Linked DNA regions of Alligator mississippiensis. The protein of the gene in region 4 purifies or fractionates together with the protein of the main gene of each other region. This does not show direct contact. Links are inferred from orthologs where the notes say so. Each region holds a gene or a part of one and is shown on either strand. Other genes may lie near its edges.

Evidence for each region.
Region 1: the proteins of PPP2CB (region 4) and PPP2R5E purify together in Homo sapiens (affinity purification with mass spectrometry; 5 studies listed by BioGRID and IntAct, counting the BioPlex papers as one, with this or other methods). This does not show direct contact. The link is inferred for Alligator mississippiensis from reciprocal best matches to the Homo sapiens genes PPP2CB and PPP2R5E.
Region 2: the proteins of PPP2CB (region 4) and PPP2R5C purify together in Homo sapiens (affinity purification with mass spectrometry; 3 studies listed by BioGRID and IntAct, counting the BioPlex papers as one, with this or other methods). This does not show direct contact. The link is inferred for Alligator mississippiensis from reciprocal best matches to the Homo sapiens genes PPP2CB and PPP2R5C.
Region 3: the proteins of PPP2CB (region 4) and PPP2R3B purify together in Homo sapiens (affinity purification with mass spectrometry; 3 studies listed by BioGRID and IntAct, counting the BioPlex papers as one, with this or other methods). This does not show direct contact. The link is inferred for Alligator mississippiensis from reciprocal best matches to the Homo sapiens genes PPP2CB and PPP2R3B.

What each region holds. Positions count from the first base shown.
Region 1 is NC_081825.1:292,128,051-292,135,717, forward strand, and holds the start of PPP2R5E (serine/threonine-protein phosphatase 2A 56 kDa regulatory subunit epsilon isoform), read left to right. Parts: upstream 1-4,652; 5' UTR 4,653-4,791; intron 4,792-5,072; exon of another isoform or gene 5,073-5,400; intron 5,401-7,360; 5' UTR 7,361-7,367; coding exon 7,368-7,524; intron 7,525-7,667. UniProt on the Homo sapiens protein: The B regulatory subunit might modulate substrate selectivity and catalytic activity, and might also direct the localization of the catalytic enzyme to a particular subcellular compartment.
Region 2 is NC_081825.1:284,640,209-284,647,086, reverse strand, and holds the start of PPP2R5C (serine/threonine-protein phosphatase 2A 56 kDa regulatory subunit gamma isoform), read right to left. Parts: upstream 3,025-6,878; 5' UTR 2,934-3,024; coding exon 2,907-2,933; intron 2,298-2,906; coding exon 2,232-2,297; intron 1-2,231.
Region 3 is NC_081824.1:337,986,112-337,992,986, forward strand, and holds the start of PPP2R3B (serine/threonine-protein phosphatase 2A regulatory subunit B'' subunit beta), read left to right. Parts: upstream 1-3,856; 5' UTR 3,857-3,979; intron 3,980-4,180; exon of another isoform or gene 4,181-4,290; intron 4,291-5,291; 5' UTR 5,292-5,381; intron 5,382-6,875. UniProt on the Homo sapiens protein: The B regulatory subunit might modulate substrate selectivity and catalytic activity, and might also direct the localization of the catalytic enzyme to a particular subcellular compartment.
Region 4 is NC_081825.1:168,614,448-168,621,284, reverse strand, and holds the start of PPP2CB (serine/threonine-protein phosphatase 2A catalytic subunit beta isoform), read left to right. Parts: upstream 1-3,822; 5' UTR 3,823-3,949; coding exon 3,950-4,051; intron 4,052-6,837.

The DNA.
Region 1 (7,667 bases), about 120 Mb from region 4:
CCTGTGCAGTCCCCATGGCCTGCGGCTGGCAGGACTGTGGTCCTCAGACACTCAAAAGTCCAATAGTCCTGGTCTACAACACAGAAGGAAATGCTTTTGAGAGAGCTCTTGGGAATGGCAGCTACTCCCAAACAACAACACCCCGCATATACGCATCTTGAAATTTATCTATGCTGTAAGAATAATCTTGGCTGGCTGCTTCACCGACCCGGAAAAGGGACAAGAGCAGGTAGGAACATGCTCTCAATCTTCAGTAAAAGTAGGAAACTAAGAAATAAGGATGTAATAAGCTTGGATGATGTAGACAAATGAGTAGGTCACTAACTCATTAAAAATTAAGGGAGCAAAGACATGGGGAAATGTAAATACTGGTGGGGTACACGTGTGTAAAGCATGGATGGAAGCAGTTAAACCGCGAAAGAAATATCAGAGCAAAAATAAGATGATTCATCTGCAGATGGTGGTTTTGCTGGTTGAGGATAATAACCACTAAAGAATGTAAACTCTGCTTAGCCATGCGTCTTAAACTTCACAGCTAAAAAGAAAACAGAGCCTTCACATGAAAGAGGAGGGAAATCAAAGTGTAGATCGCCTCTTGTTTCAATTGCAATCGAGACATGTTCCAGTAATAAATAAGGGAGAACATAATTATATGGGTTGGTATTCTTTTCCCATATGGGATTTCAACCAGCCAGTTGACCTGTTTAGGGGCATCTTTTAGGCCAGAGAAGGACTGAAATGCTGGAGGCAGAGGCAGTTGAAGAACGACAGGTGAGAAGAAGAGGAGGCCGGAAGAAGGCTCAGCAGAACCTGACGAGGACAAAGACGACAGGCAGAAAAGGAAACTTAATCAGAAATGGAAAAATGTGAGAGGAGTGCCAGAAGCAGGGAATCAAATTAGAGAGAAAAAAGGGTTCCGCATAAGAAACTGTACGATCTAGAAAGTGAGAGAAGTGTCCAGACAGAAGGTGGTGGACATCCAGCCACACAGGTGAGCAATCTCCTACCTCACTGCATTGACTGTATAGGAATAAGCTTCCCTCCTAGTATCTAAAAAACCCCAAAACAATTAGGCATTGATTGCACTTCTGCCAGCGACAGCTATACTCTTCAAATGCCCGCTCCACATGTATAAATGGCAGGTATAGGCTGTATTCAGAACCCCACACAGCAGCTTCTACTGCATCTATCATGATGGAAACAAGACACTGTAATAACACACATTAAAAAAATGGGTGCAACACTCACTAAAACAAATCTCCAGAATAAAGTCAAAACTAAAAATATAAGGGGCAAGTCATCTTCGGTGTAAGAAGATTAACTACAACTGCCCAACTCTAGGGATGAATTTGCTTCAAGATGCCTAATGCTAAAATAATACTCCTTGGTACTAGTACCCTTAAATTGACAAGGCAGGTTAATTATTTAAGAGAGCACTCTTTCACTGTTTGTTTACCTTTGTTGCAATTTCTGTTGTCGTGTAGAAGTGCCTGGTTTACATGCTGATTCAGTTCTTGAGATGATGTTACTGATTCCTGGAGGACACTTTCTTTCTAGTCTTTTATTTGATGGTCCGAATCATTAGTTCCCTGGGGATATCAAGTCTTTCGCTGTTCCAGTAAGTAGTAGTAAGCAGGACATGTACAAATAATTCCCAGTGACCATCCTCCTTTCAGCGTATTGAAGATCCTTTAGTAAACCATTAAATAACTCGGACTATAGACACACATTTGAGACAACACAAGCTCCAGCTGAATAAAATTCTGTTTATTACCCAACAGAAAGACTTTCACAAACTTATCAATCCAGCAACCTTGTCTTTAAAAAGTCTCTACATAAAGACCACCAAGGTGTTTGTCCCTTGTGCCAGGCTTGGAAGAAAGGCTCTGTGGCTTCATTTTTTTTCTATTAACACATTTTCTGAATGACAGATGAGGCTGTAAACCTTAAAGCATGCCTCTTGAGCCACTTTCTTGAACCTTGAGGTGGACCACACCTGGGACTCACTGGTGCAGAACAGTTTCTATGTAGGGAAGAGCCCACCAGTATTTTTCTAGTTTTATGGGTGCTGAGATAAACAGATTCTGCTCAATAGAGCACTTGTGCCTTGTAAATCTGGTGTTAAGGAATGCTCTTTTAAACATTTTCTTTGAAAATCTGTTTTAAAAGTTAGTAGAGAGTTAAACTTGGCAGCAAGAAAGTATGTAGGGTTTTTTGGTTTTGTTCATGCTCCCAGACGGTGCAGCCCCTTCTGGGCAGTAGTTTTAGTGTTCCCCACTGGGTTATCACCTGGTACATTGTAAATGTTCTAAATTACAGTCCCAAGACGCATCCATTTGCTTTTTTTAATTCTTGGAGGACAATTGGAAGACTTATACATGTGTACAAGCTTTTCCTTGAAGCGTTAATGACATCTGAGCATTACTTGTTGAGTTAAATCATTTTATTTCTTGCTACATGACACTCAACAAACGAACATGTATTTGTGAAATTTTCTACTTCCTTCTGCCTGAAGGCCGTACACTTCAGCTTTTCAGAAACAATACATTTTGTAATGTTGACCAAGGGTTTGAAGAGGAGAAAGAAGTAACATCCCTTTAAAATATCAGCAGATTTTCATGAGCGTGGGACTCTCCAGCTACAGACTGAATGCCCCTTAAACATGTGAATGAATACAGACTTCTTCTGTTAAAGGAATATAAGTAGTCATGGGAAATGACCAGAAAATTAGCAATAAAACAATCTGAGCACAAAAAACCCAAGGTGGTAGAAAGTTTGCTGACCAGACGATACAAAAAGGGAAAAAAAAAAATTTAAAATTAAAAAAAACCAAAACCTGTTAAGACTCATGTATTCTTGAAGGGTTCATCGGTACATCTTGAGTATTATAAGAAGTCATTTGATAAGAAACATGCCTGTTGCTGTTAAAATGCATCATCATGCATAGTGTTTTGTTAAATGGCATGTATATAAAGCATCTACCCACTTTCTGGTGTAAATTTGTAGCAATAAGCTCTTTAACAATTTTATAAAAATGGCACGACAGGAAGATTAGTAGAATCAGCACCTGAAAAAAAGTGCATTTTGGTAGTCCTGTTATCAGTAGGAACTTATTTTTTTTTTTTTTTTTTTAGCAACAAACATTTACATAGCACTTCAAATCTATACATCACAAAGCACTTTACACTACGAGGTAAATACATGGCTCCACTTTTTAGATGGGGATACTGAGGCAGGAATATTTCAAATAAATGGTCAAATGTCACCTAGTAGGCCAGTGGCCAAGGGTTCTCTAAATAGTAGTCTATGTTATTTCACCCTTTAAGCAACCCAGAACATCTTCCTTCACGAACAGATTGTGTTTCATGTAGCTTTTGTGTGCACAGGAATCTAGCTCAATCTTGGTATGAAGGACACTGAATAAATAAATCTGGTTAATTTGGAGAACTTAATTTAAGTGACATATGTAACTGATTCACAGAACAGGGCATTAAGTGAAAAACTGGTCTAGCACACAACTAAAGCAGATCACATTTTTAGGGCAAACTCAACCAGTTTACCTTATTGCTGCAAAGTACCACAGGACACAAAGTTGATTTAAGTGGGGATTGCACCTTTGTAGCTAGATGGGGTTAGTTACACCAGTGACAAGAGACACAAAAATCTGTGTCTGCACGTTTGTGCTGAGCTCCAGCCAGGGAGCAGAGGGGAGAGGCTAGCTCTGCAATGGAGCCCAGAGCATGCTGGGGTTGTCTGGCTTATCTTAAACCAGCAAGGGGTCTGGGACAGACATTGCATAAACTGGCTTGATCCAAATCAGTTAAGTCTGATACTACATTCAACCAGCTGCATCTCAAACTGGTTTCAGCCATTTTCAAACTGGGTTATGTGCACTGAACATTTGTTACAGGTTTTAACCAGTTTCTGATCCCTTAAACTGGTTTGTGTGTAATGTCTGTCCCTAGCCCCAGCGTCTGCGGGAGCTGATGTAAGAGAAAGAGCAGCTGCAGAGGGACTGTAGGGCAGGGGCGGGCAATTGTTTCGGGCGGAGGGCCGCTTACTGAGTTTTGGCAAGCCATCAAGGGCCACATGACAGGCAGCCAGGGGCAGATAAATATTAATTTTCTAAGTTTTTTGGGGGGCCTTGTGGGCTGGATAGAGTGGCCTGGCGGGCCGCATCTGGCCCACCCCTGCTGTAGGGTGATCGTGTACTGGAGCTAGGGACAGACATTACACGTAAACCGGTTTAAGGGATCAGAAACAGGTTTGAGCCAAATCAGTTAAGTCTGATACTACATCCAACTAGGTTCATTTCAAACCAGTTTCCGCCATTTTCAAGCTGGTTTATGCGCGCCGAACATCTGTTCTGTTACAGATTTAAACCAGTTTCTGATCATTCACACCGGTTTGCGTGTCATGCCCGTCCCTAGCCCTGAAGTTCAGGGCACATAAATCGCTTTAAAAAAAACGGCTGAAACCAGTGAAAGTTAACGCGGATAGACGCGACACCAGACTCGGCGGATTTAGATTAAATTGGTTTATTGAACGTCTGTCCCCGATCCCCTCCAGAGGCAAGTTAACTCGCAGTCCCCCAGCATCCCAGGATGCTTTGCGCCTCCCCGCAGCCGCCCCTCGTCTGCTCCAGCCCAGCAGGGAGGCTGCTCTAGCGCCCCCCGGCTTCCGGCCTGGGCCACCGCACTCACGCGCCTGCCTCTCCCGATCCAGGGTTGGCTCCGTCTCGGCCCGCGGACGAACCGGCTCGAGGCCGGCTCGCGACCCCCTGCGCCCGGCGTAAGTGCCCGCCCGAGGGGGCGGCGAGGCCGGGGCACGGAGGAGCCGCAGGCAGCGCCGGGCCGACCCCACTTCCTCCAGCCCCAGGGAGGCCCCAGCGCCTGGGGCGGACAGGCCGCCGGGCAAGGAGGGAAGACAACCGCCGCCAGCCCCACGGCGGCCATGGCGGGGGCGTCAACGAGGCGGCGCGTGGCGTCACGTCACGTCACGTCGCGGCGGCGGCAGCACGTTGGGTTGTGAGCGAGCGAGCGAGCGGGCGGGCGGGGGGAGGGAGGAGGAGGAGCGGGTGCTGTGAGAGCGCGAGCGCGAGTGCCATGGCCGGAGCCCCGCGCCGCTGACAATAGGAGCCCGCGCCCGCCCCGGACCCGCCGCTGCCACCGCCGCCGCCGCCTCGCCCCCGCCGCGCGCAGCCTCCGCCGGGAATGTGAGAGAGGCCGCGGGCCGCGCAGCCAGGCCGCCGCCGCCTCCCGCACCGGGCCCAGGCCTGCCGCCTCCACCCGCCGCCGCCGCCGCCGCCTCCCGCCCCGCCGCCGCGCCCGGCCCGGCCCGGCCCGCACCGCACCGCTCCCCCGCGCCGCCCCCTCCGCCTTCTCTGCCAGGAGGGCCAAGGTAACGCTGCCCCCGGGGGAGGAGCTGCAGACGCCCCCGGCCCGCCGGGGAGGGGAGCGGGCGAGGCTGGGGCAAGGCGAGGGCGAGGGCCAGGTGAGGGCGGCTCCTCCTGCCTCCGCCCCTCAGGGAGCCCCCAGGTCCCCTTCCCCTGGCAGGGCCGGCGGGCCAGGGGGCGAGCGCACCGTGGGGCAGACCCCCTGCCCATCCCGGCGAGGCGGCACCTGTCTCCGGAGCATCTCTTCGGAGCCTCGAAGCCCGCCACGGCCCGGGCGCGCCATGCAGGGCGCAGCCGTCGGGGCGGTCGCGAAGCAGCGCCCGCCCCGGGGGCAAAAAACGAAAGAGGATAAATGGTCTCTTTTTTAAAGATGATGCCAGCGTCCCAGCTTGGCATCCTCGGATGCCGCTCGGTCCTTTGAAGCGAGGAGTTTGATGTTTTCGGCGGACCCGGACTTTGTTACGTGCCCGCACGCGGCCTCGCAGCAAACCCGTCGTCTTTCTACGCACGCTTATACCGTCATAAAGAAAATAATAAGAGCCTCCTTCTAAAGCGTAAATCACACGAGTTGATTTAAATCTATTGTATTTGTCTGCGGTAGACCGGTCCCTCAACACAATAGCTATTTGAAGGTGCTCTGTAACATCGGCTCCCAGTAGCAGTAGGTGACCCTCTGATAAATGGAAGCCAGCAGTCGTTTGGGGTGATTAACACCTTCCAAGCTCGTGCTTTAAGCCCCCACTTTTGCATGTGCTTACATGTAAGCTTCACTCGATTACCGTGCGTGTTGCCATTGAAATACTGCTCAGAGCAGCAAAGTTAAACGTACATAAGCACTGGTAGGATTCATATCTAAATCTCTTCCCCTTACATCTTTCTTTTTCACTGAGAAGATACCACGGGACTTTTTGACAGAGAAGACAGCAAGGCTGGCAAAAAGCAAGAGACTGGTTGTTGAATCAACTCTTTCAGTATTTCCTTGTAATTTTGTAAAAGTAGCATGGAATCTGCTCAGGAATACTGGAACGTGAAACTGGAGATACGCAAAGAGATTCACAGTGTAAAAGCTGGGTATTTCTAAAGTGGAGAATAAATGACTAATGTAGTAAGTCTGTCAAGCTTAGTACGTTTCGTTGATGTTTTGAAGCTTAATGATGTTGGTTGGCTAAACTTTCATACATTTTTCAACTTATTTTTATGGAAGGCAGTCTGCCTATTTTATTTGTGCTCCATGGTATATTAATTGTCTACTAAACATCCATGGTTTTGATGGTAAAATTAATTATTTTGCTTGTGCACCCATTAAGGCAGGGGCGGGCAATTGTTGTGGGCGGAGGGCTGCTTACTGAGTTTTGACGAGCCATCGAGGGCCACATGACAGCCAGCCAGGGGCAGATAAATATTAATTTTCTAAATTTTTAGAGGCCCCGCAGGCCAGACAGAGTGGCCTGACGTGTCGCATTCAGCCCCTGGGCCACATTTTGCCCACCCCTGTGTTAAGGAAGAGGTGCTTTAGGGAAGGAAGAAGGAGATCCTGTGGCAACCCAAAGAACGTGTGGTCCTGTAGGCAGATTTTTGCTGACTGACAGATCACCCCTGCATTTGTATGGACTCTTTTTGAAGCCAACAGGTCCCCATGTCAATACAGCAATCGATCTGCCTGGATCCGATTTCAGGATCTGGGCCTAAGTTCAAATATGTAACAAGTGAGTATTCTACAAAATAGGAGAGAGGAAATGAAAGGTTTGCAATAGTACCAGGAATTTATTTTTAAAGTCTGTAAATAAATGAATAGACCATCTCTCTCCTATCCATCTGGCCCACTAATTTTTTCAAGTCCTTGTGGGTGATAGGAGTTTTTAGGAGGGATGTGAAGGAGGTCAAAAGTGACTCTTGGCAAATTCATTTAATCTTTACCTACTTCTGGGCATTGGGAATACGCTTATAACACTTGTTTCTTTTCAGTAGGGATATGTCCTCAGCACCAACCACTCCTCCGTCAGTGGATAAAGTAGACGGATTTTCTCGGAAGTCCGTCAGAAAAGCCAGGCAGAAGAGGTCGCAAAGCTCCTCCCAGTTTAGGTCTCAGGGCAAGCCTATTGAATTAACGCCTCTGCCTCTGCTAAAAGGTAAGGCTCAAGATTTTGTGTGCGATTAAAATAAGTTTTTGGTTTGGTTTTTTTTTTTTTTACAGTTGACTTCAAAATTGTGCTCAAAAGTTTTGTTGTGCCAGAAATTTGAGAGGAAATGTGAGAAAAGGTTCATGACAAAC
Region 2 (6,878 bases), about 120 Mb from region 4:
CACATCCCACCAGGCTGAGTACAACCCGTCCACCACCACTCTCTGGGTGCGCCCCATCAGCCAATTTTTGACCCATCCAACTGTGTAGGCATCAATGCCACAGTCACTCAATTTATTAATGAGAATGGGGTGAGAGACAGTGTCAAAAGCCTTCTTAAAGTCCAGAAAGACTACGTCCACAGCGACACTATCATCCAGGGATTTAGTTACCTGGTCATAAAAGGCCATCAGGTTGGTCTGGCAGGACCTGCCTTTGATCAGTAAGCTATTTTCTCTGCATGTACATAGCAGATTGTAACCAAAATGTATACTAAATGTTTATTCTAAAAATGTTAAGTTTATATCATACTATAATACAATTATTCTGTCAATAATGTTGCTGATACATTAAAGTGTTCATGTCTTCAAGATCTTTTGGTTAGACCATGCTGGTTGGAGATGCTAAAGCACATCACATTTTCAGACTACATCCTTTTCAGTATTCCAGTTCCTTTCCCATCCCACTCTCCCCCTCCTGTACCACAAGGCATCCTCAGGGACCTAAAAAGATGGTGTCTGGGTTGCTCTTCCATATATTACTTTACAAAAAGCTACATGCTGAAGCAGAACAGCATGCTCTTCCTCAGCAAGGTTTGCCTGGCAGGAAATTTCACATATAGAAATAACCCAGAAATTTGATTAGCAAATACAGTAAGAAATCACAACAAACCACACATGCAAGCTATTCAGTGTTTGAAACTCTCACCTCTTACTTAAAATTTGAGAACTTGTTATAGTTTGCTCACAGTAATTGGGAAAAAAATGAAAGCTGATCTCAGCAACAAGTGTCAATTAAAAAGTTCCTAGAAATCTCTTCTATAAGGGCAACTTGGATAAACTAGTCCAGTTATATACTATAAAGACACTGATTTTAAAAACCTTTTTTTGTCATAATTGCTAATGAAGTGCAACCCTAGTAAAAAAAAAAAAAAAGTGTTTCTTTAAATGTCATACAATTAAGTTGAAGCTAGGCAACTCAAGCAGGGGAGACTGAGTATTTATAAAATGAAATTATTGCAAACTATTGCAAATGTTATTTCATATTGAGAAACTTCAGCTACTGTTAAAGCCTATTTCCCTTGACCAAATTTCAAAACTTAATGCAGATTAATCAGTGAGCATTTATGATTTGGTTACTTAGCAGTTTGCTATGAATAAACTAATACTGGTAAGATGCACCTTATACAATATTTTTATCTGCAACACAGATAAAATCTCAATGAAGCTCCCTACAAATAGAGCACTTGCTCTGCAGGATAAAAATGCAAACAGTTTGTTTACATCATAATGCAGCAAAGAAATGTTTTGAGCAAAGACATAACAAACACACCCATGGAACATGGAAGACATGGGATTTTTCAGTGAAAGTATATGTTCAGGTTAGCGTGAATGTATTTTAAGGAATTTCAGAACTCACTAAAACATTACAGGGTTTGGAATTTCCAAACAGAGAGATTCTATTAATGGGATGTTTTCAGGTTCTGTGGGAAGGAGTGTGAGTAACAATTTAATTGACCCCTTTGAAACCATCATACCTAGCTGGTGGGCAGAGCTGAGAGCAAGGCAGCAAGATGATAAAAGGAACAAAGCAGCAGCAATAGCAGAACTGTCAGTCAGAAGTGAAACACTTCAGTAGATGGTTATAAAAAGCAAAATCATTAGATACAGAAAGGTGGATGCTACGAACTAGAAACATTCAAGTCCAGCTTGAAACAGGCTACTGATGGGCTCTCTTGAACTAGATGCTAGCTTTTGGAAACTGTGGAGGAAGATAAACTAACAGGTGAAAAAATCTGAGTAGGCAGCTTTAAAAAAAAAAGGCAAGCCCATTACCTGACTAGAAGGCTAAGGCAAGGATAAGAGTTATGCCCCAAATAGCTGATGAAGGCAGACAAAAGCAAAAGAAGAAAAGCGATGGGTTCTTGAAAGCACAAAGCAAGCCACGAAGTCCACCCAGTCTATTTTAATTCGAGAAACACCTTGAGAGCGTTTCCCATGAGTTGCAAGCAGCTCGACAGATCTCTTGTCCTCCCTCAAAGGAACCTTCATAGTTTCCTGACCTCCGCGCGGGTCCCCTCCCCGTCCCATCACCAGGAACTCGGCCGCGCTCCGTACGAGGCAGCTTCCTTCCGTTCATTATCTGGGAAGACCGCGTCACGTTTGGGAAGATGCCGCGCCTTCATGACATTTACCTCATGCTCTTGGTTATCCTGCCCATCTTTGCCGCTCTTCCCGCTCTTCCCCGATTTCACAGGCTCCTGCAAATGAAGAAGGCTCGTCACAGCGCTTCCAGCTTCTGCCCCATTTCTCGCCTTGGCGGAAAAAGGCAGGTTCCCCCCCGGGGCTGCACCAGCCTCACCCATGAAGCCAGGGCAACTAGGGCAAGTCGCTTGCACCGGACCAGGGATGGAACAGGCTGGACCTGGTTACCTCAGGGCAGCCCTGAAGGGAGGAGGAGGAGGCGGGTTGTGCCCAAGTCACCTCCCACCACAAACCCTGGGGAAACTGAGGCCCGTGGCATGCTGCGACTCCCCTCCTGCAGCCAGACTCGGGGCTGGGGGCTGATTTTGACATTAGAAATAACGGCACGAGGCGGGTGAAGGGGGCCCCGGCTGCTGCCGAGCAGGGCTGTGCTCGTCCCAGCCCTAGCCCTTCCTTGGGCACCACCCCTCGCGGGGAAACTGAGGCAAGGAGCTCCCCGCCAGCATCCCCGGGATTAGGCTCCGCCTCCCCCTAGCGCCGGGAGCGGGACGCCCCTCCGCGTCCCTCGCCAGCCTCCGTAGGCAGCTCCTCGCCCCTCCCCCGGGGGGCCCGCGCCCCCTCCCCGCCACGGGCTCGCTCCGCGCTGCCCCCCCGGCCCCCCTCACTTTCTCCTTCTTGTTTTTATTCGGCATGGCCGGCGGTCAGCGCCGGGCCGCAGCGGCGCGGCCTCCGGGGTCCCCGCTCCGCGCTGCCGCTCCCCCCGCTCCGGCTCCCGGCGGCGGCCGCGGCCTCTTCCCCCTCCCACCCACACCCCTCCCTTGCGCCCGGCAGGGCTGGCACGCCGCCTCGCCATTGGCTGCTGCGCGTCACGTGGCACCAACGTTCCCCCTTCCCGTCACCGGGGGCGGGGTCCCCGCGGCAACGTCACACTCCGGAGCTGGCGGCTGGGCGGGGTCGCCCCGCCCCACCCCTTGCCCGGGAGGCGGGGTCGCAGCCGGCCGGCCGCCCCCGGCTTCCCGCGCGCGCCCTGATGGGAGAGCTAGCGCTGCTCTTCCCCGCGCAGGGGGCGGTCTGCGCCCGGGGCGGCGGCGGCTGCTGTTGCTGCTCTTCGCACCCGGCCCGGCCCGGCCCGGCCGGGCCCGGCTTGGCTCCGGCTCCAGCTCCAGCTCCGCCGCCGCGAGGGGTCCGGCCCTGCTCCGCTCTTTCGGCGCGGGGAGGCGCTGTGCTGCTGCCCGTCCCTTCCCCGGGAGGGCGGCTGAAGTTGTCGGTTCCTGATTCCCGGTTCCTTTTTCAACGCCGATCTTGCGCGCCATGGAAGACCGGTCGCGATGAGGTCGACAAGCCGAAGAGTTTTTTGTTGTTATTAGTATATTGACTAATAAGTTTTTTATTAGTATATTTACTAATACAAATGTGAAATCGTGTCGTGTTTCAAGTACGCAGCCCTGAATAAAGAGTTGAGATCCGGCTGGGATTATTTCTCGTCACGTTCGAACTCTTTCGCTTGTCCAGTTCATCGCTGCCAGCCTTTAATTGTGTCTGTGATGAGTTGGAAACAAGGAACTGGGACTAAGGAGCTGGCTTCAGCGTTATCCTTTCCCCACACTCCCAGTCCCTGTGTTAATATTTCTGGGGGCGGGGATGCTCTCTCTTCTGCTGTGCCTGTGAGTGACTGTCAGGGGTGTAGGCTGTAGCTGTGTTGGTCTAAGGATATATGCAGACAAGGTGGTAAATTCAATATCTTTTCATAAATTTCATAGACATTAGGGCTAGAAGGGACCTCATAAGATCATTGGGTCCAGCCCCCTGCCCAAAGGGCAGAAAGTCAGCTAAGGTCAAAGGATCCCAGCAGATAAGCATCCAAATGTTCCTTAAAAAAATAGTTGGAAAAAAACTTTTATTACCCAAAGACCTTGTTGCCTGTGAGTAACTTTAGTATACGGTGTCTACACAGTAGCCTCTGAATAGGGCTAATGGGGGTAAAAGCATTTTATGATGGAGCTTGATCCACTTAAGAAGGGGGTTATGTAGCAGGGGGTTAGACTCAGTGACTTAACGTGTCTCTTCCAGTCCTACTTCCACTAACATTTTTTTTTAGTCCTCGTCCCTGCGTCAGTCCAGCGTGTTTGCTGTTACTGAGCTTTTCCCCAGCAATGGAACAGAATTAACTGATAGTTTCGCTGGTAGCCATCAAGTCCTGAGAAGTAGTTCAGTGAAAATGTAGTGCTGTTTGCTGTTCCTGGGGCATTAAACCAGGCTGAATATAGATGCAGAAGGACTGAATAAGCCAGGCTGAATAAACCGGACTCAATAAATCAGGCCAAATATAGATGCAGAAAGACTGGACTAATCCAATAATGTTTGGCAAGTTTGGGGGTTTTGTGTGTATGTGACCACATGATAGAAACATTAATGAAAATGCATCTTCCATCTCACAGGGGTTTGGGTTGTAGCCGTGTTGGTCTAAGGACATAGGCAGACAAGGTTCCTTGGGTGAATTTGATATCTTTTATTAGACCAACCCAAATGGTTGGAGAATAGTTATTAAGCAAGCTTTCGGGTTCAAAAACCCTTCGTCAGGCTAAGGAAGCTTCAGCAGTTGGTGTCAATGTAGCGGTCAAGGTTAGGGTTTCGTCTACTGCGAGGTGTCCAATCTGATATTTTTTTGGGCTTTTTGACATTGATCCTTTCCTGAATGTTGTCAGAGGATGAGTTGTTGGGAGTGGGTTCAGTTTGGTCGTGGAAATATTCTTTGAGGCGCAGGTGTTGGAAGAATTCTTCTAGTTCTCCACATTGAAGTATTTTATTAGGGTATTTTTCTGGACAGAAATTTAGGCCTTACTCCTAGCCACCATGGACATTACCAGCCTATATACCAACATCCCACACCAGGATGGCATCCAAGCCTGCCTTACATATCTACAGGAACAAGATTACAACCCAGAATACAGACCCAAAGACATTACTGAGCTTATACACTTCATCCTCACACACAAAAATTTCACGTCTAATAACACTTCCTCCAAATGATGGGAACAGCTATGGGCACTAAAATGGCCCCACAGTATGCCAACCTTTTTATGAGCCACCTGGAAGACTTCCTCAAGAACTGCACCATCAAACCCTTACTATACCTAGGATACATCGATGACATCTTCATCATTTGGAGTGAGAACCTGCAATCTCTGATTGAGTTCCACCAGAAATTCAACAGTCACCATCCCTCCATCCGACTTTCTTTAGAATACTCCAGCACCAACATCCCCTTTTTAGACACAATGATCAGTATCTAGAAGGGTAAAATACAGACCACAGTATACAAGAAACCCACAGACCAACATACATACCTGCACAGAACCAGCAATCACCCGAAACACACCAAAAAAGCTGTGATATACAGCCAAGCCCTCAGATACCACCGCATCTGTACTGAAGAGAACACCCGAGATCGCCACCTCACCAATCTTAAAAAAGCTTTCACCCAGCAAGGACACTCCTCCAGAGAGGTAGATCGCACGTTTGAAAGAGCCACCTGGATACCACGTGAAGAACTGCTGCAGTACAGAAGAAAAACACCCACAAATCGCACACCGCTGGTTATGACCTATCACCCATCCCTTGAACCTGTATGGAAAATCCTCAAAAAATTGCAACCTATATTAGAAAGAGACCCTATTCTTAAAAAAGATCTTCCCAGAGCCACCCATCCTAGCCTTCAGACAAGCACCGAACCTTGCCAACCTCATCACCAGAAGCAAACTTCCTCAACCCCAGAACACACCAAAAGGATCCAGACCGTGCCATGACAAGAAATGCAAAACCTGCCCCCACATCTCCACCACCTCCACTATTACTACACCCCACAACAGAGCCATCAGCATCCCAGGATCTTACAGCTGCACCTCCAGGAATGTGATATACCTCATCCAATGCACCAAATGCCCTGATGGAAGATATGTAGGAGAGACCAGACAGCAACTGCACACCGGAATGAATGCACACCGGAAATCCATCAAAGACAGAAACACCCAATTACCGGTGAGGGCACATTTCTCACAGGAGGGCCACTCTCTCTCCAATCTCTCAGTCCTGATCCTCAAGGGAAACTTACACAGCACTTCCCAGAGACGAGCCTATGAGCTCCATTTCATCAACCTGCTGGATACTAGAGATCATGGACTAAACATAGACTTTGGATTTTTGATACATTACGATCTGCCTGGCAACTGACTCCCCAGCCCAGCCCAGCCCAGCCCAGCCCAGTCCCTGGCTTCTTTACTTTTCATTCCATCCAGGAAGAGCACACACCGACTGCTGACACTTCCTTAGCCTGACGAAGGGTTTTTGAACCCGAAAGCTTGCTTAATAACTATTCTCCAACCATTTGGGTTGGTCTAATAAAAGATATCAGATTCACCTTGTCTTCCATCTCACTGTACTTGATAAGGAAAGTTTCTCATTCACCAACAATAACGATTGGCTCTTTCAAGGCCTGCTGTAGAATAGTATATAATTAGTTGGCTGAGGTTTTTAGAAGTTATTTTAGGAGAGAGAATTCTATGTACTCTATTTGGTGACTTCCAAACTGTGAGAACAAAACAAATAATTTACATTCCCCAGCAAGCTAAAATTAAATT
Region 3 (6,875 bases), on a different chromosome or scaffold from region 4:
CTTGCCCTCTGCAGCATTGGATTCCCTGCTCTGCCCGCTTTCCCCGCCTTACTGTCGACCACAGCTTGGCTCTAGTTGGGCTGGATTCAATCCCATAAATAGGTATATGGAAACTCCATCCCTTGCCTGGTCAGTCAACAGAGCTGATACTGCTGTATGGCCTGGCAAGGGCTGTGCTCCCACGTGATGTGCTCCAGGGAGGGAGCAGAGCCTGAGCAGTTTCTAATAGAAATGTGGGGAAGGGGAAAAGGCAGAGACTGCAGGGAGCTGAAAATGAAGGAGCAGAAACTATGGGGAGCAGTGGGGGAAGGGACAGAGACTTCAGGGGGAAGGGACAGAGACTTCAGGAAGCTGGGGGTAGAGGGTGCCAGTGGTGGGGGACAGGGGGCAGGAAGGCTGCAGGGGGAAGAAATGGGGCGGGTGCAGAGGGCAAAGGGGGCACATGATCCTCCAGCCACCTGACTCCCCCAACCACTGCTTTCCCTGCTGCAGCAATGAGAGGGGGACAAATTTAAGACAGTCTTCCAATAATTAGATTCTATACCTGGAAAATTATAACAAATTTATAAATTTTCCATATATAGAACCTAATTATGGGTGGGGGGGTCGTCTTAAATTCATGGTTGACTTAGATTTGAGTAAATGACATATTTTAACTTTCAGATATTAGATATTCTCTTAGAACAGCCACTATATTGTATTAATTATTACTATTATTCAAATGTCTACTTTAAGTCATCTCTCAGTGAAGAAGATGGATACATTCTGCATAAGCTGGAACAAAATGAAGCACATTTCTGTTAATTGCACATTAAGACTGAAATAGAAAACACATGCCATGGTACCCGTATTTATTGAGTCAGCTGAGATATAGGAATAGTAATCAGAAGATGAGTTTTGAAAGGGAAGTCCAATGTCAGGTCTAAGTACAAGTACTCAGGAAGGGTACATTTTAAAGCTTTTTGTAACATTAGCCAGCCAGGTTTGACTTGTACATTTCTAGCAAGCGCAAGTCTCCAGGGGTAGACATACTGTTGAAAGAGACCAGATACAGTGTATACAAGCTCCTTCCTTGGGTCAACCAATGTACCTATTCCTAGTGTTCACAGGTGTCTATGTTAATTGATTATCTTGCCCAAAATGCTATCTGCATCAATGAAGACACAGTGGGACTGATTCCTCTCTCCCTTAAAACTGTGTATATCTTAGCACATCCTATTCAAGTCAGCAAAGGTATGTTGAACTTGCACTAACACGCATAAGACTGTGACCTTGTGTACTTTTTACAGATGTTTTATTTTCTTTCCATGAATTCTGTCTTCTCCCACTGGGAGATCTTATTGCCAGTTTCAACAAGGGGCATAATTTCTGTGTGGATGATATCCAACTCTGCAACTCTTGTCAACTCACTCTCTGATTCCTCGATTGCACCTGTCTTCATCTATCAATCAACAGATGACTAAACCATCATTAAGGAATGCTTCAAAGGCATTTAAAATATTTTAAAAGTCTTCTTTGTTCTATGTCTCTGACTGTATCTCTCTTATCTCAGTCTTTTGCAATAATCTTATTATCCATGGCAATACACTTTTTTCTTTTCACATCTTAAGTCTGCTTTCCATTACCTCCATGGAGTTCACGGTCCTTACCTCTACCTCAACTTTGTGTATCTAAAATGCCTTAGTTCCCATCTTGCATAATGCAATTCAGTTTTTGGAACTGTATTTTGGTCTTTGGAAAATCTTGTCTTTAAACTTCATCATCCACCGAGCAGGAACCAACGACTACCTAACTCCAGAAAGTGGGGATCTTCTCCAGGTGCCTATCAGCTTTAAGGTTTACAACTGTCACTGTATAATACTACTTACACCAGTTGTGATATTTTTGGTAGAAGACTATCAGATTATTAATATGGGAATTGCTTTCCTGGTCTTTGTGACTTCTGTTGAGTTCGAGAACCTTATTACTCCTTTGTTCTTCCAATATTTCTTCCCTCCTCTCCTCAAAGCTGGGGAAGTGAGCCTACTCTTTCAGTAGCCTAGTTTAATTCCATCTGAAACGTTCTCCATCCCCTCATATCACTGAATCATTCTTTTATTTTTACTTTGCTACTGTTTCATGTGGGCAATATACAGAGGAAAGAACACTTTCTAGCAGGCCCCTGTTCTGAATTCCTGACATTTCAAAGATTACCAGAGCAGTCTACAACTATCACGACCACTATCAGCACCACAGATGTCAATGGCAGCCATAGCAATAGGTTTAGCTTAAATCCTTTGGGTTTCTTTCATTGTAAAGCATTAGTAATATGGTTTAAATAAAATGCAATCACATAAGGAAAATTGGTGCTGGGAGTAGGGATCTGAAGTGAAAATACAGAGGGCCTACAGCTATACTGAGTGGCCAAAATGTGAGTTTAAATTTGTGTGGGGGAAGAGATGAGGATGTGCCCCTAGAATTCCTTCCTAGTGCTAGGCCTACCAAGAAAGATCCAGTAACATAGTGGTGAAATATCTAGGTGTGACACTACAAGTATTTTGAAGCTGAAGGGCACAAGAAAGAGATAAGGGGACTTTAAAGCCAGAGGACCTCAATAACATGTGGATATGCCTGAATTTTGTAAAAAAGATGGTCTTACATAAGTGGTGACCAACCTTTTTGCCCCATAGTGCCAGGTCCCTCCCCAGGCAGGATGCATCTGGTGGGCCTGATCCAGCTGTGGGGTGTTGCTCAGCGTAACTCTGATCCATCCACCTGGGTTGGGGATGGATGGGGATAGGACAGAGGCCCCGATACAGATGGTTGGGGAGGGTGGGGTGAAGCAAGCTTGATATAGACACATGGGGAGGGAGCAGGGGTAGTGGAGAAGCCCCGATCCAGACATGCAGGTAGGGAGGCAACCTGGCAAGGGTGGGGGGGGAGCATCCTAGCCCAATCTGGACTGGAGGTGGGGAAGCAGGCCTGACTGAGCCCACTGTGTGGGCAATGGCCCAAGGAGGCTGGAGCTGGCTGTGTCGTGCATCTGCTGCACCCTGCTGTTAAATGTTTGGAGCCAGGGGAGATCCCTCTGGGCTGAATGTCACAGGCCAGACACTGAGCATCCCTGCCCTCCACGCAAGCTACTGTCCCACTAACTTTTGCCCTTCCCTTCCCCATCCTGCTCAAGGTTTGAATTACTGGGGAGCAGGAGAGGGCTGAGAGCGCCCTGCTGTAAGATTTGAAAATCATAAGGGGGGGGGCTCTGATCTTATTAGGGCATGCATGGGCAGCCCAGTTGTTTTTGCAGACCACCCCCTCCCCCAAGACTTAAAGTGTAATTTGAACACTGATCCTCCTCCTAGCCTGAGCAACTGCAACCATTTCCCAACAGAAAGGCCCAGGGGCCTATGTAATTGCCTTTCATGCAGGCTTGGGCTCGCTTACTGGATTGGACCAGCTGGGAACAACCAAGGGAAAACCCACGGGGACAGCGCCCTCCGCCCCACGGGCCAAGGAAATGGGTCAGCTCTAAGGCGGAGGCACGTGTAAACGGAGCAAAGTGCGGGCTCCCAGCGGCGCTCTATGCCCCACCCTAGGGGCATGGCCATGGGGGTGATACTGCACAGCCTGCTGGGAAAAGAGAACGCGGGAAAGCCTCCGAGAGAGAGCTGGGGGCGGGAAGACGGCGGGGTGGTGACGTCACAACACAGAAGCCAGAACCGACGCGGTCCAGCCCCGCAAAGTTCCTTTCCCGCCCTCCCGTCGCCACGGCAACCGGCCGCAGCTTCTTTCTCGTCGGAGGCGTCTCGCGAGACTTGCCCGCTGTCTAAAATAGAGCATTCGGGGCGGGACGAAGAGGGCCGGAAGTGAGGTGCCGATTTGAAGGCGGTGGCGGGAGGAGCCGGAGCTCGGGGAGGTGAATTGGGAGGTGTCGGAAGCTCTCTCCCCCCTTAGTGCAACAGTTCCCTCCGGCCCGGCCCGGTGGGGCCTGCGCTTGGAGGTGGGTCCGGGGGGGCGAGAGGGAGCGGCGGTTTGTCCCCCGGTTCCTAACGGCTTCGGGCGTGGCCGGAGGTCCCGCCCCGCCCGGGCCCGAGTCCGCCTGAGGGGCGGGGCGGGGCGGTGCAGGTGCCGCGGCTCCCTGCGCGCACGTGCGGAGCAGGCAGTTGAAGGGAAGACGGACGCGGGCTTTAAACGGCTCTAGAACGCGAGCACCGCGACTGGGGAGGCGCGGCACTGGTACCCGAAGCCTCCTGCCTCAAGCGGCTGCGGAGTATATGCGCTTGGGGCGTATCAGCTGGGGGCGGGGCTTTGGTGAGAGACCCTGTGGGATGTACCAACAGGTGGTGGAGGGGGCTCTAGCAAGACAGTGCAACAGGTGGCAGAGGGGGTCGATCTAGAGAGAGACATTGGAGTGTACCAACTGGTTGCAGAGAGGCTTCTAGGGAGAGACTTTGTGGGACCTAATGTACCTGGCTGGCTCTTTGTATAGCTGGACAGTCACTTTAATTGTGTGATTATGTCTTCAAATGGCATGTGTGGCCAGTCTAAATTTATTGCACAGTTGAGTAGTTAATTGTGTAATACCGGTTTCTCTAGCTTTATGCTGTATGTATGTTCCTGGAAAATGGTGCATAATTCGAATTCACATAAAAGGAATACAGTTTACAATGTAACAAATAGGGATGCATTCCAAGACTTTGACTGTGCTGACCCCCAGACCCAGAGAAGGTGTTGAAGGGTCTTCAGTGTCAGATTCCATATCGCTGGTAGGATGTATAGGCAGGGTAACATCCATAGGAGAATCAACAGGCACAAGGCTCTCATCACCCTCCAACACCAGTGGGGAGAGGATGGGGGTAGCTGAGTGAGGCTTCAAGAACTGGAACATCCACACTAAGGAGACTAAATTTTGGTGTGCGTCACTCCCATAATGCATCACACAAAGCTGACTGCAGGCTTCCACCACACCAGTTGCATAAGAGTGAATTTACCTTGTATATAACGAATTTTTGGTATAAAAAGGGTTATCGCAAAAGAGTAAATTTGCACGTATAGAAACGCAATAAAGTGAGGGAAACCTGTATATGTAATGTGTAGCAGGGGCCTTGCAAATACTGTGTCCTATCATGTCTTCCAATTTGAGTTGGTGTATTACAAACAATAAGCAGTGAGCAGTGTTACTTCATTGCACGTGGGTTTTCCTAGTAGATGAGGAAATCAAGGTGCGAGTTTAGGTAACTTGTCCAAGGTTATCAAGTAATCCACCTAAATGACCAACATCGAACAACTTTGATTCTGTTCTCACTGTTTAGTTCTAGCCTTCTGCTTCCTGCCTCATATTGTGGCCTCTCAAGAAGTGAGAATGATGCAAAGCCCAAAGGCCTTGTAGCCATATCAACAGAGTAAGTCTGGGTAGGATAAGTCAGCCTATTCTGGGTGTGGGCTAGACCAGTGGTTTTCAACTTTTTTTGTACCAGGACCCACTTGTAAACATTGATAGCCAGTCCTGTCCCAGTGCCCCTCACTCCTGACTTGCCCTCTGCCCCCAGGTTCCAGCCCCTAAAGGTATGGGGAAAGGGGTGGGTGTGTGGGGTGGGAGGGGCATGGGGGGCCCCAAGCAGCCCTGGTTTCCCATGGTTTTTCTTTACAGGTAAATCCATTTTGAAACTGTTGATGCAGTTTTAAAGCTTGTTTGTGACCCTTTCATATAGTCTTGTGACACACTTCTAAGTCATGACCCATGGGTTGAGAAACACTGGCCTAGATAATCCACCCCAAGTCAGAAGCAGGTGGGTGCCAAGACTCAGCTGCTGCTTTTGTTTCTGTGGCAGCATGGAGAGAGCTCCCTCACAGCCAAAACCCTACATCTGTAGACTAGATTCAGTGGTTTTTGTGGACCAAATCCGGCCTGCCAGCCAGATATTCCCAACTCCTGGGCCTTGCCATCACTTGAATGATAGCATGAGAATCCCCAGAGTGAATGCTGGCAGTCTTTCTGCTGCAAGCATTACGCCAGCTGTGCCCACAAAAGGGGTTTTGCCAGTCTAGCTGTGTCAACCACTAATTTTTTTTTCCCCCATACCCATGTTATTAGCTGATGGCACTCTAATGTAGATTAAGCTTGGGTTTCAGTTATTTTTATGAACTATAAAGGTTAAAAATCCATTAAAACATACAAAACTTTCAAATTGTGTCTCCATATTTATTAAATGAACTAAATTAAGTTTGAAGATGATACCCATAACTTACCTGTATACATTTGATAAAAAAACCTCACTTATATTGATAGATAACTTTAAAATGTTGTGTCTTTGTTATCACTTTAAGGCAGTGGTTCTTCAACTTTTTAGACTCAAGGCACCCCAAGGTGGACTCGAAGAATCCCTTGGAGAATATCAGCTCTGTTTCATTCACTTTGACTACAGAAAAACAGTAGAGTAATTCTATTGCAAAGAACTCTGACCACAAATGATCAAAATGTTTTTAAGACTGTGGATTCCTTTCGGAAATCTGTGTTTATCATGTGAAATAATGTTTGCACTCTTAACAGTTCTGTGGCACCCCACAACACCCCTAAAAGGATCTCAAAGCATTGACACCCGGGTTGAGAATCTGCATTCAGACAATGAGAAGTTGGAGAATTAAGACTGAACCTTCACCCTTGAATGTTTGATTCCCCAATGTTAATGATTTTTTTTAAAATGCTAAATTCCCTAAAACACGAACTAATGGAGTTACATTGCTTATTGTAGTAGTTTTCTGGAGTCGTAGCCAGCCTTTTGAAGAACTATCCATCATCACCAAAGAAAAGACCTTAAAACTCTCTGTCTTCACAGAGAGAGATGGAGAAAGCTGCCAATGTTTGACAAACCAGATCAATGTTTACCTTATGTGGT
Region 4 (6,837 bases):
AGTTTCCTTACCATTAGAGCAGTAAGATTCTGAAACAAATTTCCAATGGGTATAGTGGGGGGCAAAGGAAAATATCTACTTTAAAGATGGAGCTTAGTATGTTTATGAAGGGGATAATCATAGAGGGAGAAAAAATTATTTGGAGGACGGGGAGGGCTGAGCATGTGTGCAGACCATGGGGGAGCAGATTGAAGCCCCAGTGGTGAGGGAGGGAGTGGGGCAGAGGCTGGGATGAATGGGGCCCCAGTGGGGTTGGGTGGTGGGACAATCGGAACTTGGGCTGCTCGTCCAGGGGCGCAAGCGGGATCCTGTCATTGTGTGCACCTTGGTGCAGGCCCAGGTGGCATGTGCCCCCTCATCTATGTGCGGGGCAGAGGCAGCTGCCACTGAGTGCTGGGCTTTGCTCCTTGCTGCAGCTGCACTGGGAACAATGCGACACCATGTGCATCCACCCATGTCCCTGGATGTGCCGCCAGGCTCTGATTGTCCCACGACCCAGCCTGGCCAGGGCCCCATTCACCCCACCCCCTGTCCCTGCTCTACTCCCTCCCACACTGATCTGTTCGCCCCCCCCAACTCCTTCCCCTTCACAAAGGAAGTAGGCTGAAACTTGCCTGCTGTGCTGGGCAGCCACACACTGGGGCTGCGATCCTAGCTGCATATCTGAGTGTGCACATCCCTCTCCTCTCTGCTGCAGCAGCCCAGAGCCTGCATCTGGGCTGCCCTGAAGCCCTACCTGCTGCCTTGCGTTTGAGGGGGCTAAGCCCTATTAGCTCTGGCCTTCTACCACCTATGGAGATAATGTGAGAGGGCCTTGCAATGGCTGTGGGTTACACTCGGTGACACATGTCCTTTCAAGCACTATGTTTCCTAAAACAAGGGAGGAGGGAGTTGTGTGTATAAATGGTAGAGCACCTGTGGATGGAGGCCTTCTGACACACACACATGGATTCTGTCAACTACACCTTTGAGATGCTCTGAGGTACTCTTATACCTTCAGGTGTCTCCTTCAGCTCCAAACCCCTCTCTGGCATCTGCTGCTTGACTACTGGGACCACCCAAGGGTGCCTTAACTTTACCAATCTCACCCAGGTCCTATTAGCTCTTGGCTGAGGAAGTTTTGCCAGCTTAAGAATCATACTTATTATCTAGCATGTGCTTAGAAAATACTGACCCTCTCCTTTGGAGAAAAGACCTACCTGTTTGCTCAAATGCTCTGAACTCATAGTTACCACACAGACGGTAAGTTATAAAAGATAACAAAAAGATTTATTAGAAAAACAAATGAAAACAGAAGAATCAGTAACTGTATGCTGCATACAGACAGAGATATGAAAATAAACCAATAACTAAGATCTCTGATTTATTCTTTTCTCTGCATCTTAGCCCCTCCAGCTTCTACTTATGACCAAGCCAAAGTCTCTGCTAATCTGTGAGCTCATGTTGCCTAGCCCTAGGTCATGTTGGCCACAGGAGGGACCAGAGCACCCAATGCCTGAGAAACTTTAGTTGCCATGGCAACTCTTAAATACTTGTCCTTATCAGATGGTTTACACTTCTCTACTGAATTTTCAGGAAACATATATTGTGCATACAACTTCCTGCTTCTGGGTATCTGACTGGCAGGTTGGGTGTGATTCCTGATCTAACTATAACAAGGAAATACCAGATATGAAGACTGCTAATTCCATATCCTTGGTTTTCAATTACCTTAGTACATTATAAACTTTGTCTTATTCTCCCTACTGTGAGAAATACAAATCTTCCTATTAGATTGTTTTTAGGTGTTACCTTGGCTACTCTTCCCTTTAAAATGTCAGTTCATCTTTGGAATGGCCAGACGCAAGTGTCTGGGATTAGTCCACAAAGGCCTATCCGGCCAATGATTAAGCTTAGCCAACTCTGATGCAAATTCTTAGTCAACCCTTCCTAAGTAATACTATAAAAATATAAGAATACATTCATATCAAATACCATAATTCATACAAACATATGAATGACAAAAGCCAGGTACAGCTTCTCTCAAGTTATCTGTACATGCCATAAAGCAAATCTAATTCAGGAAAACATGCATGACGTTCCATGAACATTGGGGGTTTGTGACAGAGCTTAAATAGTTGCATTAGTATTGGGGTCTGTAGTGAGGATGCATGTATAAGAAATGGGGGGAGGAAAAATGCGTGTTATGGTTGGTGATGTACCTTGGGAGGAGAAATGGGCTGTGGAGCACACTTAGAGAAGAAAACTGACTTAGTGTAAAGGGATGTGTGGTGAGGCTATAGTTTAGGACAGAGTTGTCCAATTGGTAGCCCATGGGCTCTAACCAAGGCACAGCTCCCCCATCACTCCTGCTGCTGCTTCCGCTGCTACCACAGCTATGGCTATTGGGGGTCTCGGGGCTCCCCTCCAGCTTCTACTTCCTGCCACTTCCTCTAAACCTGGGAACTGGGCAGGGCAGCCTGCTGGGCCCACACAGTTGGGGGGCCTGGAGAGTCTGTACAGCATGAAGTCCTAAGCCACTCAGAAGTTGGACAGCCCTAGTTTGGGCATGGGGCTGTGGGTGGCAGAGAGGTGCATTGGTGTGTTTAGAGCAAGGGTGGCCAAAATTCAGACCACAGGTCAAATCCAGCCTGCCAAGGGATTTTGTCTGGCTCATGGCAGGTCTTTCAGCCCCTCCTGATCCAGGTGTGGGAGGAAGACTGGGCCATGGCTTATGTGGCCAGTTCTGCTGCCCCTGGGTGCACCGCAGGGCTGGGGCAGCACAGCAGCTGGACTCACTTCCCAGCAGCCCCTGCAGCAGCTGGATGCAGGTGGGGTCTCCACGGAAACCAGCCCGGACCTGTGTGGGCAGGGCAGGCTGCTGAGTGCATGTGATGGGGCTGCTGCCAGGCAGGGAGCATCCAGAACCAGGACCATAGGGTGCTCGCAGTGCAGGGGCAGAGCCAAGGGCAGAGCCACAAGCCACTGCCTGCATGTCCCTGCGATGGGGTCCCTGCGGTTCCCCAGGCAGAGGCATGCAGGGAGCAGATTACAGCTCTGCCCCAGGCCTGGGCCCTGACCCCGTGCTGCCGTGGCCCTGCAGTCCTGATCCCAGCCCCAGCCCTGCCCCCAGCCCGTCCTCCTCCCAGATGCTGTTCCCCACAGGGCAGCAGCCCCAGCCCATCTGCCCAGCCATGTGCCCTGTCTGCACGGGTCCTGGCCAGTCTCCATGGAGACCCTGGGCATGACAATGTGGGGCCAGGCCTGGGGCAGAGCCACGATCGGCAATCCGCTCCCCACATGCCCCTGCCCAGGGAACGGGTGCCCATGGTAGCGGTATGCAAGGAGCGGTCCCGGCTCTGCCGGGGGCCCTGGCCCCACACTGCCATCGCCCACCCATCGTGCTCCTGCTGGCTGCCGCTCCCTGCCTGCTTGCGGCCTGAACGCGGGGCAGAGCACTTAGGAAGCTTCGGTGAGCTGTGGCCGCGGGAGGGGGTGCCCACCAAAACTCCCAAAGAGGTCCTCCAGCCCAAATAATTGCCCACCACGGTGTGTTTAGAAGAGTCGTGGTGCGGGCGGAAGGGGCAGTAGGGCCCTTGATGGGTGCAGCGTGACATGAAGGGAAGGAGAGGTGCGGGGTCAGCTCTGCAGGTGGCAAAAGGACGACCGGTAGAGACCGCGGCCCAAGGTACAGCTGAGCCATTGCCCTGCGGGCTCCCTGGGCACAGGACGGGTCGGAGCGCGCGCATGCGCTTACGGAAGCGGCCTCTATCTCCTGCGCCGCCGCGGGCGGGCCGGAAAGTGCGCCGCGCCGGGCGGAGGAGGGGCCGGAAGTGCGCAGCGCGGCGGCAGCCATTACGCGGCGCGGGCCGAGACCGGGTGCGGAGCGGGCTTCGTGCCGCCGTCGTTGGCCGTGAGCGTTGGCTAGGCCTGGGCCGCGCGGGAGCCCGCGGCGGGCAGCGCCGCCGCCATGGAGGAGAAGGGCTTCGCCAAGGAGCTGGACCAGTGGATCGAGCAGCTCAATGAGTGCAAGCAGCTGAGCGAGAGCCAGGTCCGCAGCCTCTGCGAGAAGGTGAGTGCGGCCTTGCCCCGCCCCGACACTCCGCGCCGCTGCCGTTGGATCTGCGCGCCTGTGGGCCGGGTTCCCCCGCCGCTGCAGCGGGAGATCCGCGCTTCCTTCCCGGCCGGGGCAGCAGCACCCCCAGCCGCCAGCGCCGCGTCACCCCGCTGGAAGGGCATTCCCGCCCGAGCCGGCGGGGGCTGAGGGAGAAGCGCAGAGAGCCGCGGTCCGGCTTTGAGGGGCCGGGTACAGACGCGCGGTGCCCGGAGAAACAAGCTCAGGTGAGGACTGGATCCTGCCCTCGTCCCGATGCAAAAAACCCTCTAAACTCAGACATTCAGCACTGTGGCTCCACATCATGGCACGTCTCTTTCGCCTTGCCTGCTGTGTGGGTATGTCAGGATAGGGAGGCTCTTCTCCAGGTCCTCTGTGTGCGTTTCTCCCTGTGTCGCAGAAGGGGAGGCCAAGGCAAAGTGACATAGGTTAGCCAGCAGCTGAGCTGAGACTAGTCTCCAGGTCGTGTGAATGCAAGTCAGGTTCTGTCTACAGCACAGTGTTGCTCAAAAGAAATCAAAGAAACTTTTGCTAGGCAAGAGCCCAACTAAGGTACCCAAATGTCCTTAACTCTGTCAATGATACAGTGCGCTTGAGGTATTTAGAGGTCTGTGGCATAACATTTGCATAGAATTCATTTGTAGACATGTTTGTGCTGTCTTATACCCTCTGTTTATCACAGGCTACGTTGGAAAGCTGAGGCTGTTTGAGTACCCCAACTACCTTTTTAGTATCCTGTAGAGAAGAATGGGGGGTGCTTATTTCTGGGTCTCTCTGCCCTGGTTATTCAGGCCCTTCCAATGCTCCTGTGGTAGTCTGCATTGGAATCAACTCGGTAGTCCAAGCCAGCAGCCAGTAGTGAAACCTTTTAAAAGTCAGAGCTAAACGATCTTATGTGTGTCATTTTGGGGGGTTTTTAGGAAAGTTAAAACCAACAGAATTATTGCATACAACTGGCTATAAAGGAAAAATAGTTATGAGTTATCTTTTGTCACAATTGCTCTGTTGAAGGTTTAGGTGAATTAGTGTCAAAAGACCCTGTTTATGGCTTGTAAATCTTAGTAATTATGTACAATTGCTAATAGTTTAATTTTAATTTGTTGAGATATGCCTTATGCATGGGGCTTTTTAATTAATTAACCTTTTATATGGAAAGTTGATGGCTTGTTCTGTCAAAATTCATCTCCTCAAAGGTTACTGCCATAAGTGCCAAATTTCTTAAACCATTTACTTTTATTTAAATTGTATTGTGAGCAAAGCTTCAGAAAAATTATTTTGTCCTTGCGGTAAGCTTGAGCATGATATGATTTTTTTTTTTCTCCATAAGTAAGGTTTTGAATACCTGCTCAAAGTACAAAGAAAAATACTTGTGGTAATTAGGTTTCTTTAAACTTATCTTAATTTGTATATAACATTTACTTAAACTTTGAAAAATGTTTAATTACTATACTTTTATTTCTTTTCAGTTAATGGTGTTGACTAGTTCTCCCCACCAGGTCTATTGTCCTAAGACTGTGGTAGCCAACTAATGTTTAGTCTTGTAACTTAAAGCTAGGTAGATAAGGAATTTTTAATTGGATGATGACTAAGCCAAGTGAACAAAGTTCACATATAATTCAGGGGGAAATAACTTATAATTGTTAGAGTATTTCATCAACTTTTTTGGTCACCTCAACAGGGGTTGCAAACAGCCCATAGCATAATTTGACTATAATTTCTAGTTGAGGCTTGTAGTTACCTGCAAGACAAAATACTAATGAATAAATATTGGATGCTATAAAACTGCTTCCTGTGCTAGTTATGAAAAACAGGCTGAACTTTGGAGGCTTGTCTATCACTGGTGATATAAGAATCTTCCTTGGCATGGTAATAGTTATGGGGACAGAATTCTATTTCTGTGGTACCTTTAATTGTCTCTGTCTCTATGTGTCTCATGCAAGCAACTTTTGAGCCAACTGCTTAGACTTTCATGCCCTCACCTGTGGGGATATAGGATAGTATGACTCCAGTTGCCTTTAATTCTCTTTTATCCAAGTCGGTGATGGGGACTTAGTAATGTCCACTATGCTCGTTGACCTCACAAAATAGCTTTTAAATTCCATTTTAGTTCTTAACGTACTTCATAAATTGATATAGGTCTGTGAACAAATCTTAAGATTGGCAGTCTTTTGTGCCTGCAAACCAGTAATTAGGCAGTAGACATTCTTCATACTGGAATGAAATTTAATGGACGTAGAAACAAACATTTGTGGCAAAAGTAGGAACAACAAAAGGATGGAGTTCAATACTGACAAATGCAAGATGCTACATGTAGGGAAGAATAATCAAAAGCACAAATACAGAATGGGTGATAACTGGCTTGATGGTAGCCCTGGAAAGAGTAGGTTTTTTTGGCCCTGGTGGGTTACAGACTTGGTACGAGTCAGGATGTCACGCACTACAAAAAAATGCAATTTGGCTTGCAGCAACAGAAATATAGGGTGTAAGAAGGATGATAGTGCTACTCTATCTGGCACTGGTTAGGCCTCACCTAGAATGTACAGTTTTGGGCTCCACATTTTTAAAAAGGATATGTAGAAGGAAGGGTGGTGGGCAATAAAATGATAAATGGTTTGGAAGACAAGGTATACAAGGAAAGGTTGAGAGAACTAGGCATCTTTAACTTGCAGCAAAGGTGATTAAGGTGGGAGACATAGTCTTCAAATACCTTGAGTGCTGTTATAAAGAGGGAAAATACTTTTCTT